4 linked regions of the Arabidopsis thaliana genome follow. The protein of the gene in region 2 interacts with the protein of the main gene of each other region in a pairwise test. Each region holds a gene or a part of one and is shown on either strand. Other genes may lie near its edges. The genes, in order: AT3G54120, AT5G07730, ATG8F and AT3G10260.

What was found.
Region 1: the proteins of AT5G07730 (region 2) and AT3G54120 interact in a two-hybrid assay, tested with the Arabidopsis thaliana proteins (one large-scale study listed by BioGRID).
Region 3: the proteins of AT5G07730 (region 2) and ATG8F interact in a two-hybrid assay, tested with the Arabidopsis thaliana proteins (one large-scale study listed by BioGRID).
Region 4: the proteins of AT5G07730 (region 2) and AT3G10260 interact in a two-hybrid assay, tested with the Arabidopsis thaliana proteins (one large-scale study listed by BioGRID).

What each region holds. Positions count from the first base shown.
Region 1 is NC_003074.8:20,040,250-20,044,417, reverse strand, and holds AT3G54120 (Reticulon family protein), read left to right. Parts: upstream 1-2,077; 5' UTR 2,078-2,284; coding exon 2,285-2,354; intron 2,355-2,456; coding exon 2,457-2,637; intron 2,638-2,701; coding exon 2,702-2,913; intron 2,914-3,000; coding exon 3,001-3,149; 3' UTR 3,150-3,292; downstream 3,293-4,168. Other genes in the region: AT3G54130 (Josephin family protein), read left to right, coding at 1-243, 936-1,523; PUMP1 (plant uncoupling mitochondrial protein 1), read right to left, coding at 3,422-3,466, 3,571-3,657, 3,741-3,818, 3,902-4,006, 4,098-4,168.
Region 2 is NC_003076.8:2,456,847-2,461,241, reverse strand, and holds AT5G07730 (uncharacterized protein), read left to right. Parts: upstream 1-2,739; 5' UTR 2,740-2,858; coding exon 2,859-3,566; intron 3,567-3,646; coding exon 3,647-3,733; 3' UTR 3,734-3,895; downstream 3,896-4,395. Other genes in the region: AT5G07740 (actin binding protein), read left to right, coding at 40-138, 286-327, 448-681, 773-854, 971-1,065, 1,178-1,249, 1,327-1,443, 1,647-1,715 and 2 more; XXT3 (Galactosyl transferase GMA12/MNN10 family protein), read right to left, coding at 4,112-4,395.
Region 3 is NC_003075.7:9,305,094-9,310,146, reverse strand, and holds ATG8F (Ubiquitin-like superfamily protein), read left to right. Parts: upstream 1-1,608; 5' UTR 1,609-1,801; exon of another isoform or gene 1,802-2,022; 5' UTR 2,023-2,033; coding exon 2,034-2,070; intron 2,071-2,164; coding exon 2,165-2,220; exon of another isoform or gene 2,221-2,657; coding exon of another isoform or gene 2,658-2,750; coding exon 2,751-2,803; intron 2,804-2,894; coding exon 2,895-3,013; intron 3,014-3,164; coding exon 3,165-3,265; 3' UTR 3,266-3,808; downstream 3,809-5,053. Other genes in the region: RGF6 (root meristem growth factor), read left to right, coding at 4,318-4,761. UniProt on the Arabidopsis thaliana protein: Ubiquitin-like modifier involved in autophagosomes formation. May mediate the delivery of the autophagosomes to the vacuole via the microtubule cytoskeleton.
Region 4 is NC_003074.8:3,170,121-3,174,858, reverse strand, and holds AT3G10260 (Reticulon family protein), read left to right. Parts: upstream 1-1,866; 5' UTR 1,867-2,290; coding exon 2,291-2,531; intron 2,532-2,605; coding exon 2,606-2,786; intron 2,787-2,870; coding exon 2,871-3,012; intron 3,013-3,114; coding exon 3,115-3,184; intron 3,185-3,276; coding exon 3,277-3,446; 3' UTR 3,447-3,637; downstream 3,638-4,738. Other genes in the region: GYRB1 (DNA gyrase subunit B), read left to right, coding at 1-50, 127-243, 333-386, 470-575, 761-891, 986-1,054; AT3G10250 (histidine-tRNA ligase), read left to right, coding at 4,441-4,488, 4,604-4,709.

The sequences.
Region 1 (4,168 bases), on a different chromosome or scaffold from region 2:
AGCAACGGAGGAATGTTGTATCACGAGGTTCAAGAGTCAAATCTGTGCGCCGTACACTGCGTCAACACGGTGTTGCAAGGGCCTTTCTTCTCTGAATTCGATTTGGCTGCCGTCGCCGCCGATCTAGACGGGAAGGAGCGTCAGGTTATGCTTGAAGGTGCTGCCGTTGGAGGTTTTGCTCCCGGCGATTTCTTAGCTGAAGAGTCGCACAATGTTTCCCTCGGCGGCGATTTTAGTATCCAGGTACGAATTCGCGATGAAATTGATAAATCTTGAGTTGCATTCAACATTTATATATTGTAAAGCCTTTTTGTTATTGTGTTGTTGGAAGTTTAGGCAAAATTAGGGTTTCGATTTTATGGTGCTTTTGATTGCTGTGTTTATGCTGAAGTGATAAACTTTTGAATGGTTGGATTCGTTTTTAGATAGATTCAAGAAGAATTGAGATCAGTAATGGTGTGAATTTGCGATCTTTACTTTGGGTTAAAACTCATTTGTTGAAGGCTAGTTTCATTGTGCGAACATTGCTATGCTGATAAATGGAGGAACTTGAGATGATTTTTTTTATCTTGGGACTCAATTGTTTTGGATATGTTAGTTATTAGTGAGGTTCTGTATATTCAATTATCATCTTTTGTTTCTTGGATAGCTTTAAACCGAGTTGGTTGATAACTTGATATTTGATTAGGTTGCTACAAAAGTCAGGTTTGATTGCAAGATTTATGTATTGAGATTCAAGGGTATAGTATGGTGTTTTACATCACATTTTTAGATATCTAAAATTAAAGCTATTTTAACGGATTACGTTGAAGTTGGATGCGGATAAAACACTGCAAACAGAGGGTTTATGCGATTGGTGTAGCATTTTAATCTTGCAAAGTTGATCTAGTCTTTGCTTATTCGTTTAACTGAGAATGCTTCTGTTTGATTGACAGGTCTTGCAAAAAGCTTTGGAAGTGTGGGATCTACAAGTAATTCCACTCAATTGTCCAGATGCAGAGCCTGCGCAGATAGACCCTGAGCTTGAAAGCGCCTTTATCTGCCACTTGCATGACCATTGGTTTTGTATAAGGAAAGTGAATGGCGAATGGTATAACTTTGATAGTCTCCTTGCTGCCCCGCAACATTTATCGAAGTTCTACCTTTCTGCGTTCTTAGACTCTCTCAAAGGCGCAGGATGGAGTATCTTCATAGTGAAAGGAAACTTCCCTCAGGAATGTCCCATGTCGTCTTCTTCTGAAGCTTCCAATAGTTTCGGGCAGTGGCTTTCTCCTGAAGACGCAGAGAGAATAAGAAAGAACACGAGCTCAGGTTCTTCTGCCAGAAACAAGAGAAGTAATGACAATGTTAATCAACAAAGACGGAATCAGGCATTGTCACGTGAGGAAGTGCAGGCTTTTTCAGAGATGGAAGATGATGACTTGAAGGCAGCAATTGCAGCAAGTTTGCTTGATGCTTCTGCTGCTGAGGCCAATCTCGGAGCTGTGGGCACTTCTGAAAAGGAAACTGAGAAACAAAAGTAGCAGAGAAAATAGAGAACAAGTGTTATTGATGGAGGTGGTGGGATATTCACTTTTGTTTCTTTGTTTTGGTTTGTTATCAAGAGTTATCAACAATTTTACATACAGAACAGAGAAAGAAAAAAGCTTACATCGAAAGATAGAAAACAGAGGATAATAAATGGTTTGTGGAATTGTTTTTGTTTGATTTTTTTACCATATTAAATTCTTCTGACAATCTTAAATTGAGGATAAAGATTCGACCTTTTCGAATTCATAGGAAACTACATCTGAAAAGGGTACATAAATTACTTCAGTTGACTAAAAGTAGATGAATGACCAATTTAAATGTGTTCTATGGAAAATATAAAAGGATGGTGTAAAATTTGATTCATCTCTAAGTACAATCTGGCGAACTTTTACAGTTTGAAAAAAACAAGAAGGATAACACTTTTAGGCTGGAAATAAAAACATCGAGAGGACAACAAACACCTTCTTTTTCCCTAAACAGAGCATAGCCTTTGAATTATTAATTAATTATTTGTATATTCAAAGTTGATGGCTTTGATGATGATGGTGATGACCCAACTTTAGTCTCTTCTTCACTTTTTATTTTTACTTTCTTTGTGATACATCAGGTTCCTTCGATTCGAGCCTTTAGGATTTCCTTTCACATAATGATCTGTTTCTGACATTCAGAGAAAGATATACATATCTGGGTTACTTTTGGGATCTGATCATCTGAGGAAATCTGAATCCAAGTTTGCTCTGATCTTTCTTCTCAAATGAGTTCTTCTTCGGACAAGTTGTTCAACAGAGACAGGACAATACATGAGATTCTGGGAGGAGGCATTGGTTAGTGAATACATTTCTTTACCAAATCCAAAACTTATAAAAGCTAGGTGATCTCTCACCTCTATAGCCTTTTTTTTTTCTTGTTATGAAATGAATCTGCAGTTGCAGATGTGATGCTGTGGAGGAAGAAGAATGTGAGTGTTGGTATAGTTACAGTGACAATAGCTTCATGGATGGTGTTTGAGGCATTTGCTTACACTATCTTTACTCTTATTTCAAGTGTTCTTCTTCTCTTGCTCTCTATTCTCTTCCTCTGGTCCAAATCTGCTTCCATTCTCAACAGGTATATTAATATTCACTTGTAACTAATATTACTTCATTTCTGATTCAATTTCTTGGCTCTTCAGGCCATCACCGCCGTTACCGGAGTTTCAAATAAGTGAAGCGATGGCGGAAGAAGCTTCGATATGGTTACGTATTCATGTGAACAAGCTACTCCAAGTTTCGCATGACATTGCAATGGCAAGAGACTCAGAGTTGTATACCAAAGTAGCAGTGTCACTGTTTCTTCTCTCATTGATCGGAAGTCTCATGGATTTTCAGACACTTTGCCACACCAGTAAGTAGATATTCTAAAACTCCTATAGACTTGGAATGCTTTTGAGCTGGATATTCATTTTGTGGTTGTTCTTGGTTAATTTGGCAGGCGTTTTGGTGGTTATGACGGTTCCAGCTTTCTATGAGAGATATGAGGATTACATTGTTGGCTCTATTGAGTTTATCTGCAACAAAACTAGAGAGCTTTACCTTAGACTCGAGATATGGGCTAATCCGGAAAATAAGAAACTGAGCTGAGATGCTGTCACCTCTTTCTTCTTCAGGAGTTTCTTTTTCTGATTTTTCTCGGTTTTGTGGAAAGAAAGGAGAAAAATGTATGATTTTTGATAAATGTTGGATGGTACAGCCAATATATGAGCAATCCACAGAAATTTTATTTCACAGTTTTACTCGAAAACTGAATCTCTATTCCGAAAACAATATTCGACCAAGTTCTGGCCTCTCTCAATCACCGAAAATGAAGAAGAAAACAATGTTGCTCTTATTCCCTCTGCTTAAAACTATGTGTCTCAGTTTCTTTTGGACGCATCGAGTTCCCGGACATACTTCTTTGCCTGGATTAGAGTATTAAGAACCCGGATTAGAAAATGAGAAAGAAGACTTTGCGTGACCGATTCGAATGCGATTGCGATAAAATAAAAATTCTATCAGTTGTTACCTGTTCGAGGGTCAAAAACATGATTACGTTCCATGAGCCAAGGCGTCCAAAGTTGGGGATGAAACCCTTGTAAAATGCCATAGGACCCTGTAGAGGAAACCGTAAAGAGTTTGTAACATTTTCTGGGTTATATCTAGAACAATGGAGGTATCAGAAGCAGAGTTGCTTACGTCGCTCTTCAGAGTTTTGACGAAGCAGTCAATGGTGCCCTTGTAAGCACCAGAATCTCCCATCATTCTTGACTTAACCTGCCACACAACAAGATTTAAGTAGACAATCAGGAAACGTGGTGAATAAACTCAAGGTTCAATGTCATGAGTAAATACTTTACCACGTCGACAGGAGAGCCGATGCAGACAGCAAAGAATCCTGCTCCCAGTCCAGATAGAATATGTGTGACAACGTTGTCAGTGAAACCCGGAATCTTCAAGATCGTCTGAACACAAAAAAAAAAAGGAATGTTGGTTGCTTCAAATATCAGGATCTCTTATTTAGAAAGAGAGACAGAGAACATATTAGTTTCATACCTCTTTCACTTGATCGTAACTCGCTAATTCAGCAGCATTGATAATAGCGTTTCTTGCTACGTTAGGTCCAA
Region 2 (4,395 bases):
TTGATGATAATTATTCAAATTTTTCTTTGCATCGTCCAGGCTGCAGTTCTGGCAATGGATGAGTCTGTACTAGATGTTGATCAAATAGAGAATCTTATAAAGTTTTGCCCAACCAAGGAGGAGATGGAGCTACTTAAGGTTACGTCTTGACTTTTGAGTAGCATTATCTATTTCTGTCTTTACTTTGGAGATCATTTGTGAAATATGTCAATTATTGGTTATCATTATTCACTTGTTATTGACATGAGTCCTTGTTCTTGGTCGTAATTGTCTGGTTTGTTCTAGAACTACACTGGTGACAAGACGACCTTGGGAAAGTGTGAGCAGGTCTGTTTAAGTCTTCAGATTACCAACCAATCTCGCACTGTTTTTGGCTTCTACTATAAAATGGTTAGCAATTAGCTTACTGAGTTAATACATTTTTTGTCATCCATTTTGCTATTGCAGTACTTCCTAGAGCTAATGAAGGTGCCACGAGTTGAGGCAAAGCTTAGAGTCTTTTCTTTTAAATTTCAATTCGGCACTCAGGTCTGGTGGAATTACTTAATACCGTTATTTTCTGTCTATTTGATTCTTTGGAGGACAAAATATAATTTTATTAGACTATTGATAATGATGTTTTTTGTGCAGATAACAGAATTCAAAAAAAGTTTAAATGCTGTAAATTCTGCGTGCGAGGAGGTAAGATGCTTGCAATAGTTAACTCTAGTTTTTGGGCAGTCCATATGCATTTCTCTTTGTTAGAATTTTCTACTTATTGCTTATTCATCAGGTCCGCTCTTCACAAAAGCTAAAAGAAATTATGAAAAAGATTCTTTACCTGGGGAACACATTGAACCAAGGAACTGCAAGGGGTAAGTATTATTTATGTTATTCTTGTTCTACATCTTTTTGCACAAGACATTGCTAGTTGTTTTGTCTGTACGGATAACCTTTGTGGTTGATATGATCCTTGCTTTGCTTTCTGCAGGCGCTGCTGTTGGATTCAAGTTGGACAGTTTATCGAAATTAAGTGATACACGTGCTGCTAACAGCAAGATGACTCTCATGCATTATCTTTGCAAGGTAAATGACAATCAAAAAGAGCAGGATCTAGTTTCTGATGAAGGTTATTATAAAAAGTGGTCTGGATCAGGAGAGATACATAATTCTGAAACTCTCATCTTTCTTTTTCCAGGTCCTTGCTTCAAAGGCATCAGTTCTACTGGACTTCCCCAAGGATCTTGAAAGTCTTGAATCAGCCTCGAAGGTTTGCAGTTGTTCATTTCTCGTCCTCTACTCCTTAGTTTCTATTGGCTCATCATTTGATCGTCCTGTCTATTGCAGATACAATTGAAGTCTCTGGCTGAGGAAATGCAAGCTATAATCAAAGGATTGGAAAAACTGAACCAGGAGCTCACTGCATCCGAAAGTGATGGTCCTGTTTCTGATGTTTTCCGTAAAGTATGTTGGGTTTTTTAATTTTCCTTTTGCACATCTTATCTATCATGAAATTGAGATTAGTTCCATGATTGTGCCACATTACTAAATCTGTATCACTTTTAAAATCATCAATAACCCGCTGGAAAATAATTCTTCAGTTGGGTTTTGTTTATAGAGTTAATTTCTTCCTGATCCTAAAACCTACTTTTATGCTTTGATAACAGACATTGGGGGACTTCATATCCGTTGCTGAGACTGAAGTGGCAACTGTATCGAGTCTTTACTCGGTCGTGGTAATTTGTCAACCTCTACTAGATTCCAAGCGCCTTTACCTTGACAATGTGGTTGATCCTGAAAATGATTTTTGTGTTGTTTCTTATGTTGGACGGCAGGGAAGAAATGCTGATGCTCTTGCTCACTATTTTGGCGAGGATCCTAACCGTTGTCCATTTGAACAAGGTATGACGAGGAATCTATAAACTTAAATCCTCTTGGGCAATACATAGAAAAAGAAAAAGTCCCTAATCGTTATTTAGTTGGAAGTGTTATGTAGCTAATAATAATACCGGGTAATGGACTGCTGCAGTTACTGCAACCCTCTTGAATTTTATAAGGTTGTTTAAGAAAGCACACGAAGAGAATGTCAAGCAAGCGGAGCTAGAGAAGAAGAAAGCTCTTAAGGAAGCGGAAATGGAGAAGGCAAAAGGAGTCAACCTCACAAAGAAACCAGTTGATGATAGCTGACGAAAAACTTAAGTATCAATTTGCAAATTCCGCCTCAACCTCTCAAGAGAACTGAGCTAGTCTTGTAAGCCAGCAAAGAGGCGGTGGTGCTGTTCAAGTAAACCTTTCCGCAAAGCGGCATTGGATGCTTAGTGCGGTTAAAAAAACAGGCTCGGGTCCTATGGGGAGCGGTTTCGCCTGGCGGGGGCTATCGAGGAACCATCGAAAGATTAAGAGACAGGTCTTTTCGCCACTCACGTTTAACATGATTGACTCCACATTGATTTAATTCTAACTTGTAAATTAGAATTCTTTCCTGTTTTTTATTTCCTGATTAGAGGAATTTTTGATAGATTGGAATGTTGTATAGGTTTCAGGTAGAGAGAGTGAGAGATGTAGAGCATTTTGTCTATTTAGTGTGTAACTTTGTATACCTTAACATCAATGTTCTTTTTAGGATTCAGTTCAGACAATGAGACGGCACGTGTGATAAACTAATTAATACAAAAGAAAATTGCGCGAGAAAATGAGATGGCACGTGTGTATGACCAGATTTTCTTAAACGAATCAGCGAAAAGCAACAATCACGTGTTCTTCTTGGATCCCAAAAGTTTGAAACTTTCATGGATTTGTCCTTCTTCTTCTTCCTCCAACTGTTTCTTTCTCACAAGCAAACCCTAGCGAGATAATTCCTCCAGCAAATCCAACTGAAGATGGCTGAAGATGAAGATCATTATTGTGAACAACACCTGATTGGTCCATTGGATCACAGTTCGTCAATGGTTGTCATCAGAGAATCGCCAATTTTCGCCAAGGACGATGGCGTTGTGTTCCCGCCGATCTACCATGAGAATCTCCATGTCGCTTCTTCCGTCTATGGAGTCGATAGATACCTCGAATCTCCGTCGGAATCCTCGTCTCCGTCATCTTCGTCGAGACGCTCTGGTTCATCTTCTTCTTTTTCGTTGTTTCCTTCTGATTCAGATGGACAAACGTCACTGACTGCGTTTGAATTTGACCGGAAGGCTCCGTCGGAAACTGAAGAAAAATCTCTGCCGTTGTTGTTAAGCGGTGAATCTCCACCGTCCGATTCGGGGGAACAGTCGCCATTTGAACAGATATCTCCGCGATTACCTTCTGAACAAGGCGGCAAGTCTCCACCATGCGATTCAGATGGGAAATTACTGGGGAAACCATTGAATCGTGAAGTTGATGTCCTCCACGATTGGTGGGAGCCTCTTCTTGTACGTTTATACTCCAAGTTGAAGAATTTGTTGACCTGGTTCTCAAAGACTATCCGATCATTTTATCCAGTTCTTGCCATTGCGATTTGGTGGTGGATGCGTGTACGAGCTCCTCGGAAACGCGTTAAAGGAGAAAACATGGATCATCTTCGAGATGTGATCAAAGAGAGAGACGAGGTATGTTTTTGTGCATACAAAGTGTTTGATGAAATGCCTAAGAGACGTGACATTACTATTGTTTTCTGATTTTGAAACAGAGGATAGTTCAGCTTTTGCATCAACTTGCTCAAATGAATGAGTTACTGTTAAAGCACCACAAGGACATTGTATCAAGAAGAAGATGATCCATCACAAATTCAAACCATTTTAGCTTATTGATTCTTTTGTTTCTTGTTTATATTATTTCGCAAGCCACTCTCTTTCTGTAAAATTCTTCCATTTTAATCTCTCAATTGAGATAAAGATGTAAATTTTCCCATTGTTACGAGTCAGAGTTACTTCACTTCATACTTAGGATTCTGCAAAACTAGATCTTTGCATTGAAAGGTACTTGAACAAATTGATAATTCATCTTCTGTTCAAGTTTAACAAAAGAATATATTGACTTTATATATTGGGTAAAAATATAAGAAAGAGAAGTGAGCTTTGAAACAATGTAGCATTTTGTTCAGTTAAGTAGGAACTGATTGTGCTTTACCAAACTGAAACTGGTTCATCAGCTGCTAGCTTCGTGCTTCAATCTTGAGCGGTGTTGTTCTCCGAATATCAAACCTGTCTACGAATTTCAATGGAAATGTTGTCTCGTTTCTGATCCTCTTGATCTTAGGACTTAACAATCCCCTGTGACCAAACCCATACAGTTTGAGCACTTGATTATCCGCAAAGTTGAATGCTCGCTCCATACTCTTCAAGCAACGTTCAACCGCGTAATCAGCATAACTCCCACACGGTTTGCATCCAACAAAGTGAGTAATAAAAGGCCATCTTTCATCTCCCAAACCGGGAT
Region 3 (5,053 bases), on a different chromosome or scaffold from region 2:
TTTATATCAACCTTAGGCACAAATAGTGAATGCTTCAAAGCAATCCAAGTCTTTGAGAACATTCCTTCCACCTTGATCAAAACTCACTCAACATTTTGGAACGTGATGGTAACTTGTACACATGCTCGACAAACTGAGTATGGGCATTATCTTCTTGCAAGGATAGTCAAGACTCTATGGATAGAACCAACTATTGAAATAATGGGGACATATTTAGACGGCTTGGCTAGAGGAAAAGTGATTGATGAGGCATAACGAGTTGTCAAGACTTTGATTTTCAAGCCTAACTAGGAGATTGCTGTGAGTCTTTTATCAAAGTACAAAAGCCATTCAACACCCATTGAGTTTGCTAAACGTTTTGTGAGGTACCTTGAAGAGAAGAAAGTCACCTTCTACATTGCTGGAACGACTTATAAGGTACTAGACGAAGATGGGGTGGAGTGGAAATCTAATGTCAAGATTAAGAAACAGAAGAAAGGAAAATCCACAATCCACTCCCATTAGAGCAGTTCAAAGTACTATATATTGCTGCACAGCTAAATCATTCGTCAAAGGCATTTCTTAACCATGCTATTTGACCTGAGGTTACGAGAGTAAGGATATAATTGTATTGATTGTTTTGAAACAGTGAAATAAACATGAAAAAGTGCAGTGAAATAAACATGAAAAAGTGCATACTCCCACATATGTGCCCCATATGCTCTAACAAACTTGATAAGTGTCATACGTAGTGAGATACCCTTATATTTTTTTTAGCTTTTTATATACTATTGCTTACAAACCTTATTAATATAGTTAAATAATTAGGGTGGGCATCGGTTTGGATTAAGTAATGATTTTGGATAATGATTAAAAAATAATTTTGATTTTTTTTTCAACTTCAGAAAACTCAATCTTAACTTTTAAAAATGTTTATGTCTTTTCACAACTATAATATTTTATATCTATAAGTAAAAAACTTGTTAGAAAACTTATCTTACTTTGATAAAAGATTCATTTTGATTAATTATCTTTGTTATCCTGTAAATTCTCGGTTTTGACATTAATCACTCAATTCCGGTATTTTAATAAATTACAAAATGAGTTTTGTGCAGTGTTGAAGATATATTCTCAAATACAGTAATTGCTTTCAACCCTTGATTTCGAAATGCCTAAGCTTGAAATCCTAAGCTGTCCATACACCAAGACCTACATCTCCAGATCTCTATAACAGTCATAAAAAAACTTCTGCCTATACTTTATTTATTAGTTTTCATATTTCCATCCGTTTATTTGCAAGGCCCATTACTGCACTAGGCCCTACATTTTGTTAGAAGAGGCAAAGCTTATAAGCGACATTCTCAATTTCCAACTATTACCCTTCCGAACTCTTCACCTAACACACATTTTCTAGGGGTAAACGTGTCATATCGTATGCAGAAACGTGATCCCAGCATATCCGGTTCTTCTTTATCCTTTGTTGGAGGCAATATCTACGTAGACAGTTACCTCGTACACCTTCAGTAAAATGGACGGTTGAGATTCCTATTTCAGTAAATAGCTAATATCTACCGTCAGATTCTCACTGAACAGATTAAGCATACAACGTCAGCTGAAGTGTTTAGATGTTACCATACACCATCTGTAGAGAATCTCTGACCTTATCGCATAATTTTTTAATGTTTTGCAGAATTTTTGTAGGTTGCTTATTTGCTTTTTCTTTCATATTTTTTCGTTAATTGTTGTTGTTATCTTCAACGATAGCGTTGTGCTCTGGAGAAGTGTTTGATCGCAGAAAAGCTTCGTTCTTTGTAGTCTACAGGTTTGATCACTGAGTTCTTAACTTCTTTTTTGGTTTGATTGCGATCCTGTACTTTCGTTTAGATTACTTAAAGGTTGGGTCTTTAACATGATCGACTGATAGATTTGTGGGAATTTTGATAATCTGAGTTCCAGAGTTTGGGAATTGATGATTTGATTTGAGTGTTAAATTTGTTTTGATGGTTGTCTGATTGGTGTCACCTATTTGTTATGTGTGTGTAGGCGTGGAAGGAATGGCAAAAAGCTCGTTCAAGCAAGAGCATGACTTAGGTTTGGATTTGAGCTTTGTTCTTGCTTTACTGTTTGGTCCTCGAAATCAAAACCTTGTGCTTTGATCTAATGATCCTGTTTCCTAAATCTTCAGAGAAGAGAAGGGCAGAGGCTGCTAGGATTAGAGAGAAGTATCCTGATAGGATTCCGGTGAGACTTTCAGTGTCTCTCTTATACATTGATCGATCATACATTTCTAAAGTTATATGTGATTAGCATATTGTTTCCCTTTCTATGTTCGGATCAATCTTTTGTGTTTGACTGAGTTTATGCAGGTTAAGTTGTTGTGGTTTATGGCCCAGCAATATGGTAGTAATGAACTTATTGGGATATAATGAACTTATTGGGATAGCATCTGGTTTTAAATGGACACCCTACCCGACTAAAGGATGGTTATCAAGTTATTATTGTTTGATTAGCTTCATGCTTGTGATATATGTTTGCCACTGTTTCAACTACATGGAGTTGATTGAGTTATAGTGACTATAACAACATTAGGACTTTGAATTTAGTTGTCATTTTTTGGAACGTGACTTTCTGAAACTCGATTCTTACTGAGTACTTACGGCTTAGATAAGTAGATTTGCATGATTCATGTGGCTACGTGCTTTATGATTCACATGGTAAAAATGACACTTGAGATGATGATTTCCACGCATTTATATTTTTGTGGGATCCAGGTGATTGTTGAGAAGGCTGAGAAGAGTGATATACCAACCATCGACAAGAAAAAGTAAGCATATAAATGGCATCAGTATCCTTTTCATTCGGACCTGACTTGTTAATAATAGTGATTGATAACTAAGCTTTTTTCAAATTTGCAGGTACCTAGTCCCGGCTGATCTGACTGTGGGGCAGTTTGTGTATGTCATTCGCAAAAGAATCAAATTGAGTGCAGAAAAGGCTATCTTCATATTCGTGGACAATGTTCTTCCTCCAGCAGGTAAACAGATAGATCTCCTCTGTATTCAAGACTCAGGAGTTTCATTATCTTTTAACACAAGTAACAAGAGCATAAGAAGGCGTCTACTTATATGTTCCCCGGTGATTATAAATTCTTTATATTTGGCTGATCTGATCTGGTAACTTTGCAGGTGCGCTCATGTCTTCTGTGTACGAAGAGAAAAAGGATGATGATGGGTTCCTCTATGTCACTTACAGCGGAGAAAACACATTTGGATTTGGATCTCCATAATAGAGACCTCTTGCTGGATATTTCATTTTACTCCTCTCTATTTTCACCAAATATTTCATCTTCTTATTAATTACTAAGCAAGCAAGCCACCTATGTACTTATTCTCTAAGGACCTTTGGTCGGGCGTTAATATGTACAGAAAACATAAAATAATGTATATAATCTTCTTTCAAGGATCTAAAAACCTACTTTAGGTGAATCTATCACATCTCCCTCTTGACTTTGTTGTGTTTTTTTTGATGTCTTCAATCTATAAGCCGACATAACACGTCGCTTATGGCACATGGGCCATGACAGTTCCAAATTGCAAAGCCTAAGTGAAGAGAAGTTATATCACCAAACTCAATAGAAGTGCAAGCACAAGGGAACTGTGCCACGTGGCAGACATGGTCGGTACCGGTTGAAGGTTGGCCGGCGACGATCTTATAAAGGTCCCACATTGTCGTTGACGGAGAGAAGGAGGAGACGGTCGGACCATGCTGGCTTGTTTCTCATCTTACACTTTTCAATATTGATTTTTGTTTCATATATTTATTTGTTCACAGTTTTAGCTCGATTTATGATCGTCAAAGATTGTAATTCAAGGTTCCAACCGGTCACGTGGAACATGAGAGACGCGGTTGTGTTTTTGGGATTTTGGACCATTGAAGTGAAAGTTGAATGTAAAAGCTTTTCATAACTTGTGAGTGTTTTGTCCAAAGAAATCAATGTCAAATAGTGTAGTGATAAGAAGGTGATCGATTAGGACTTAAGAGAGTAAACACGTCGGTCATACAATAATGGCGTGGATGAAAAAGGTGAAGAACCGGAGAATAAGGTGAGCAAATGGAAGAAAGGAAAATGAGAATGCAGGAGATGATGACCCCACGAAGACTCTCAAGTAGACAAAAGGTTTGGCCGATCAAGACACCCATATACATACGATAGATATGTATGTTGAATGTAAAATATATTTGAATAATAGACAAGAGAGAAGATTAAAAAGAAATAAAAGAGAAGAGGAACAAGAGCATGTTATGATAATGAAGGACCCCTCCCCCCACCTGTATTTAATGCTTGTCTTACTCTCTTTACTCTCTTCTGCCTACAAATACTCTCCTTCCCTCTTCTCTTCTCTTACACCAATTAACAACATTTCAAACTTTCTTTGTCCTGCTCTAGTCTCATCTCCCTGTATACAGACACAGCATATATACACAAGTATCTCAAGAACAAGAAGAAGAATAAGAGAAGTCATGTCTTGCTCTTTGAGGAGTGGACTCGTGATAGTGTTCTGTTTCATTCTTCTGCTTTTGTCTTCCAATGTTGGATGTGCCTCTGCCGCTCGTCGTTTAAGGTCACATAAGCATCATCATCACAAGGTTGCTTCTTTGGACGTCTTCAATGGTGGAGAAAGGAGGCGGGCGTTGGGTGGAGTCGAGACAGGGGAAGAAGTAGTAGTCATGGATTATCCTCAGCCTCATCGTAAGCCTCCGATCCACAACGAGAAGTCTTAATTACCCGATCCATATATACCAGTCTCTCTAAATATATCATACTGTTATATGCATATGCATTCACCATGTTGGTGGTTGTAATGACTCTTGTGCTATCTCTATATATATTCATGACCAACTTCTTTGTTCTCTATTTCTCCTCGTATACAACAAACAAGGTGCTTCCTATTAATTACTCTGTTTCTTATGGGTATTGCATAAAAGATTTTCAACATTTGAGAAACAGAATTGTGAAAATTCTTCATTAAGCTTTGAATGTACAAGAGATCTTAAATACAGAAACTAAACCGAG
Region 4 (4,738 bases), on a different chromosome or scaffold from region 2:
AGAACGAAGAAATTCAAAATCTTATTCTTGGCCTTGGTCTTGGAGTTAAGGTAATATATCCTTTTTCATATCCTGCTGTTTGTTGGTATGTTCGGAAAACTCAGTTTGACATAAAACTTATTTCAGGGAGAAGATTTTAACAAGGAGAATCTGCGTTACCATAAAATTATCATCTTAACAGATGCAGATGTTGATGGTGCACATATCCGGACACTTCTGTTGACCTTTTTCTTCAGATATCAGGTACTAGTTTAGTTTGATAAAACATTAGTTGAAGTAGCCTTGATTGCTGATTGAGTTATGTGAAATTTAATGAAATTTACTTTCTACAGAGAGCCTTGTTTGACGCGGGTTGCATATACGTTGGTGTTCCACCTCTTTTCAAGGTAAGCTCTTAGTATCTATAATCTTATGCTTCAGATTGAACGGAATTTTTTTCTAAAGCTAGTCTCTCTGTGAAAACGATCAGGTTGAGAGGGGGAAACAGGCGCACTACTGCTACGATGATGCAGCTCTTAAAAAAATCACTGCTTCGTTCCCTGGAAACGCATCCTACAACATTCAGAGGTTCAAAGGTAAAACATCCTACTTCTCACATCATGAATGTGTTCTTTTGGAAAGGATAAATAACTATGAAAAGTAATGTATAGTAGTTGTTATGTGTTAGCTATTAAGATACTCTTGAGTGTGTGCATAACGAAATCTAGATTAGTCTCAACTATTGGATTCTATGTAATGTTTCTTGCTTTTGCATCTGCAGGTTTGGGTGAGATGATGCCTGCGCAGCTATGGGAAACAACGATGAATCCAGATACAAGGATATTGAAGCAACTAGTTGTTGACGACGCAGCAGAAACGAATATGGTCTTCTCATCTCTGATGGGTGCTCGGGTAAGCCAATGAATTGCCAGACTCGGACTCATGATAATAGTCAATAAACTGGCATAACTCATCGTGACAATGTTATGTTCTGTGTATGTTTCAGGTCGATGTCAGGAAGGAACTCATCAAAAGTGCTGCGACTAGGATGAATCTGGAGAATCTCGACATATAACACAGCTTATAGTTATTGCTTCAGCTATATACAAACAACAAAGAAACGACTCTGGTGAAATGCAAAGGGAGACATCATCATTTCAAGGTTAAATCATATAGTCACAGGCCAACAGGATTTTGTTCTTCTTCTGGCCTATAAAGGACAAAATTCATTGTTAGGATTATCTCTTTCAATGTCAAAATTTAGCAATTCACAAGGCTCTTTGTTGGGCGTTTCTTTCCATTGGAACTAGAATTTTTCTAGAGACAAGAGAAATTTGCATTCACTAGGTATTTACTATATATTATGACTTCAACAATTTGGCATTCCTGAAAATCATGCATGCGACGAAGTTAAAACTAATGATTAGAAGGAAGATGAGAAGGTAACTATTGTGCAATGAATATCTTCTCTGCCTGTTGTATTGATTTTAATTGTATTCGAGGTTAAGTTTTGACTGATGTTTTACTAGCGATCGCAGAGTGATCGATAATTAACAAGTTTATTTTTCGATTTGGTAGGTATATAGTGAATTAAACATGATTTTTGTTCTTCCTGAACAACCTAAAGCAGTGTTATGAACGCATCACGCATGTAACAACCAGTCAACCATATTAGTGTGACTTTAATTCATTGAATAAATGAAATTTTTTTATTTTCAACAAGGCTTGTAACGGTTGATAAATCTACTCAGAAAACTTCTTTTTGTTTGTCTTGCAAATACAAACGATACGTTTCAACTCTTTTTTTGGCGTCCAATAATACTTCTTAAAAAATAATTTGTTTATTGTCATGAGCTACACGTGGGAAGACAAGTCCTATCCATTATTACTACACACTACTCCAACATTTGCCCACATTTTGAAAAAAACATTTTTTTGTAATTCAATTATTCGACACAACCAATCCCATCTCTTGTTTCACTTCCGCCCTCCATCTTTCTTCGTGATTGAGAGAATCTTCAACGAAAGAAAGCAACTTTTTTTGGGTGAAATTCACAGAACAACCAAGGTTTTTCTTCTTCTTCTTCTTCTCCAGTTCCTACAGGTTTACTCTTACTCATCTTCATCTTTGTCTCGTTCTTGCTCTTCAATTTCTGGTCTTTTTGTTGTTCTTGTCTTCTCGCCAAATATACTAAGATCTAAGTTTTATATCATTGTAATTATCACCAACGAACTGTTAAGACCAAATTTGATTACTCGAAATGGTTTTGGGTTTAGGGTATGAAGAACTGATCAAAAGATTCAATTTTTTATGAAGTCAACTTTCATCTGCAAATTGAGCAATCTCAGATTTCGATTGTGTTTCAGAATCATGCCTGACAAGAACATCGTAGAGGACGTTATCGGTGATTTGGTGGATAACTTCACGGAGACTGTTCAGAAGAACAAACATGGTTCCTCCTTCTTCGAACAAGAAGATTCCGTCAGTTCTCGTTTCAACCGTTTGTTTGATCGCCAGAAGCCAATTCATCATGTCTTAGGCGGTGGCAAATGTAAGAATTCGTATACAGGAACATAAATATGAGATTGGTTTTTCTTGTAATTGAGTATTGAGAGATTCCTTCAGCTGCTGATGTGTTGTTATGGAGGAACAAGAAGATCTCTGCAAGTGTTTTGATGGGAGCTACCGCAATTTGGGTGCTTTTTGAATGGATCAATTTCCATTTCCTGTCTCTCGTTTGCTATGCCCTCTTGCTTGGTATGATTGCACAATTCGTTTGGTCTAACGCCTCTGGATTCTTAAACCGGTAACTTGTTGGAGTGTTGTTGTCATTATTATTGGTACCTTGTGATTGCAATCTAACACAATGTCCTTTAATGTCTCAAAGCAGCTCACAGTCTAGAGTGCCTCGCCTAGTTCTTCCAAAGGATTTCTTTGCTGAAGTCGGTGTGGCCGTTGGAAAAGAAGTTAACCGCGGTTTGTTGTTTCTTCAGGACTTGGCTTGTAAAGGGAATTTGAAACAGTTCCTCATGGTGCGTTGTTTGTTTCAATAACCACAATCTTGTTTGTATAATGTATTAGCACTTTCATTACTATGCTAAGATAGAAACTTTGATCACAATATCATTTTTCAGGCTGTAATCGGACTATGGGTAGCTGCAATGGTCGGGAGCTGTTGCAATTTCCTAACTGTTTTGTATATCGGTGAGTGGTTCTTATTAGTGTATCCTCTTTTGAGATTGGAAGTTGAGTAATACAAGACTTTAAAGGGATGCATTTTATGTGTGTGTGTGAAGGGTTTGTTGGGGCACACACAATGCCGGTTCTGTATGAGAGATACGAAGACGAAGTGGATGGTTTTATGGATTCTATGATCATGAAGTTTCATAGTCATTACAAGAAGCTTGATACTGGGTTTCTCAGTAGAATCCCAAGTGGAAAGTTTGGATTAAAGAAGCGTGAGTGACTAAATCACTCAAGCATTTTCTTATTTTACCTTGTTTGTTGTTAGAACAATATGGATTATGGTTTGCTAAATGAATGTTTTGAGAATATTATTCATTCATGTAGATTTTGTGTATTTCCTTACTAAACAATACCTTGTCCATGTATTTGTCAATACCTTGGTTAATAAGAGAATCATCATATCTGTCAAAATTATACAAGTAGATTGAGAGTTCATTAACTCAATGTCTAAAAATGTAAGACTTAAAACAAGTTTGAATCAAAATTATTTCACAAATCAAAAGTATGGTTTTCTTATTTCGTAAGAATCGTTGACTAATATTGACCGGCTGGCTAATAAGAAGATCAGATAACTCTACAGGTATGGGATCCACCATTGTCAAACATTTTACACGTGTCAGCTTCCTGAGCTTCGAAGCCTGAATGTTAAAATTAAAAAATTTAAAAGAAAGAAATATAAAAAGAAGTAAATCAAAGAAAATGGAGTAAAGAAATTGATCCACGATCGATCAACAAAGTGAGGTTAGGTTCCATCTCCACCTCTTTCTCTCTCGAATCTTCTCCGATTAAAGGTGCTCTTTTGCTTATGAAATTTGTGTTTCTTAAGCTAATCGAATTTGTTTTCTTGATCGTTTTGATGTTCTTTTTTTTTTTTGTTATTGTTGTTGATTTGATGTGATCCGGTTGTATTTGAAGACGAAATCGATTCGAAGTGTTGAGGTTTAGTTTGGGGTAAAATAGATGATTCTCAATCTGTTCTTATTTGTGAATTATTTTGTATTTCTGATTCTCTGTTTTTTTCTGTTTTTTTTTGTTTTTTTTTGGATTTGAAACCTAGAGAAAGAACCTTGTTTCATTAGTGGGAGATAAAAACCTCTAATGATTTGATATAAATTTTTGAACTTGTACAGATTCGAATCGATTTCCCTTGTACCCTCTCTTAATACTGGTTCTTGCCTGACAGGAACAAGGTCTGGTTTACAAAAGTCTCATAGATGTCGAGTGGAACAGTGAGAAGGGTTTCACGTCAAGATATACAACTGGTAATAACAACAAAAATAGATCATGATGAAGGAAGGCCTTTGGTTTCATTGTCTGAATCTGCGACAATTTGAATTCGTCCTCTTCCAACTCAATAAAACTTACTTTTGGTTTCAGGTTCAAAACCTTATAGAACGATGCCTTCAACTTTACATGAATCAGAAAGAAGTTGTGGATACTTTACTAGAGCAGGCTAAAATCGAGCCTGGGTTCACAGAACTAGGTAGCCACTCAAATACTCTGTTTTCTTTT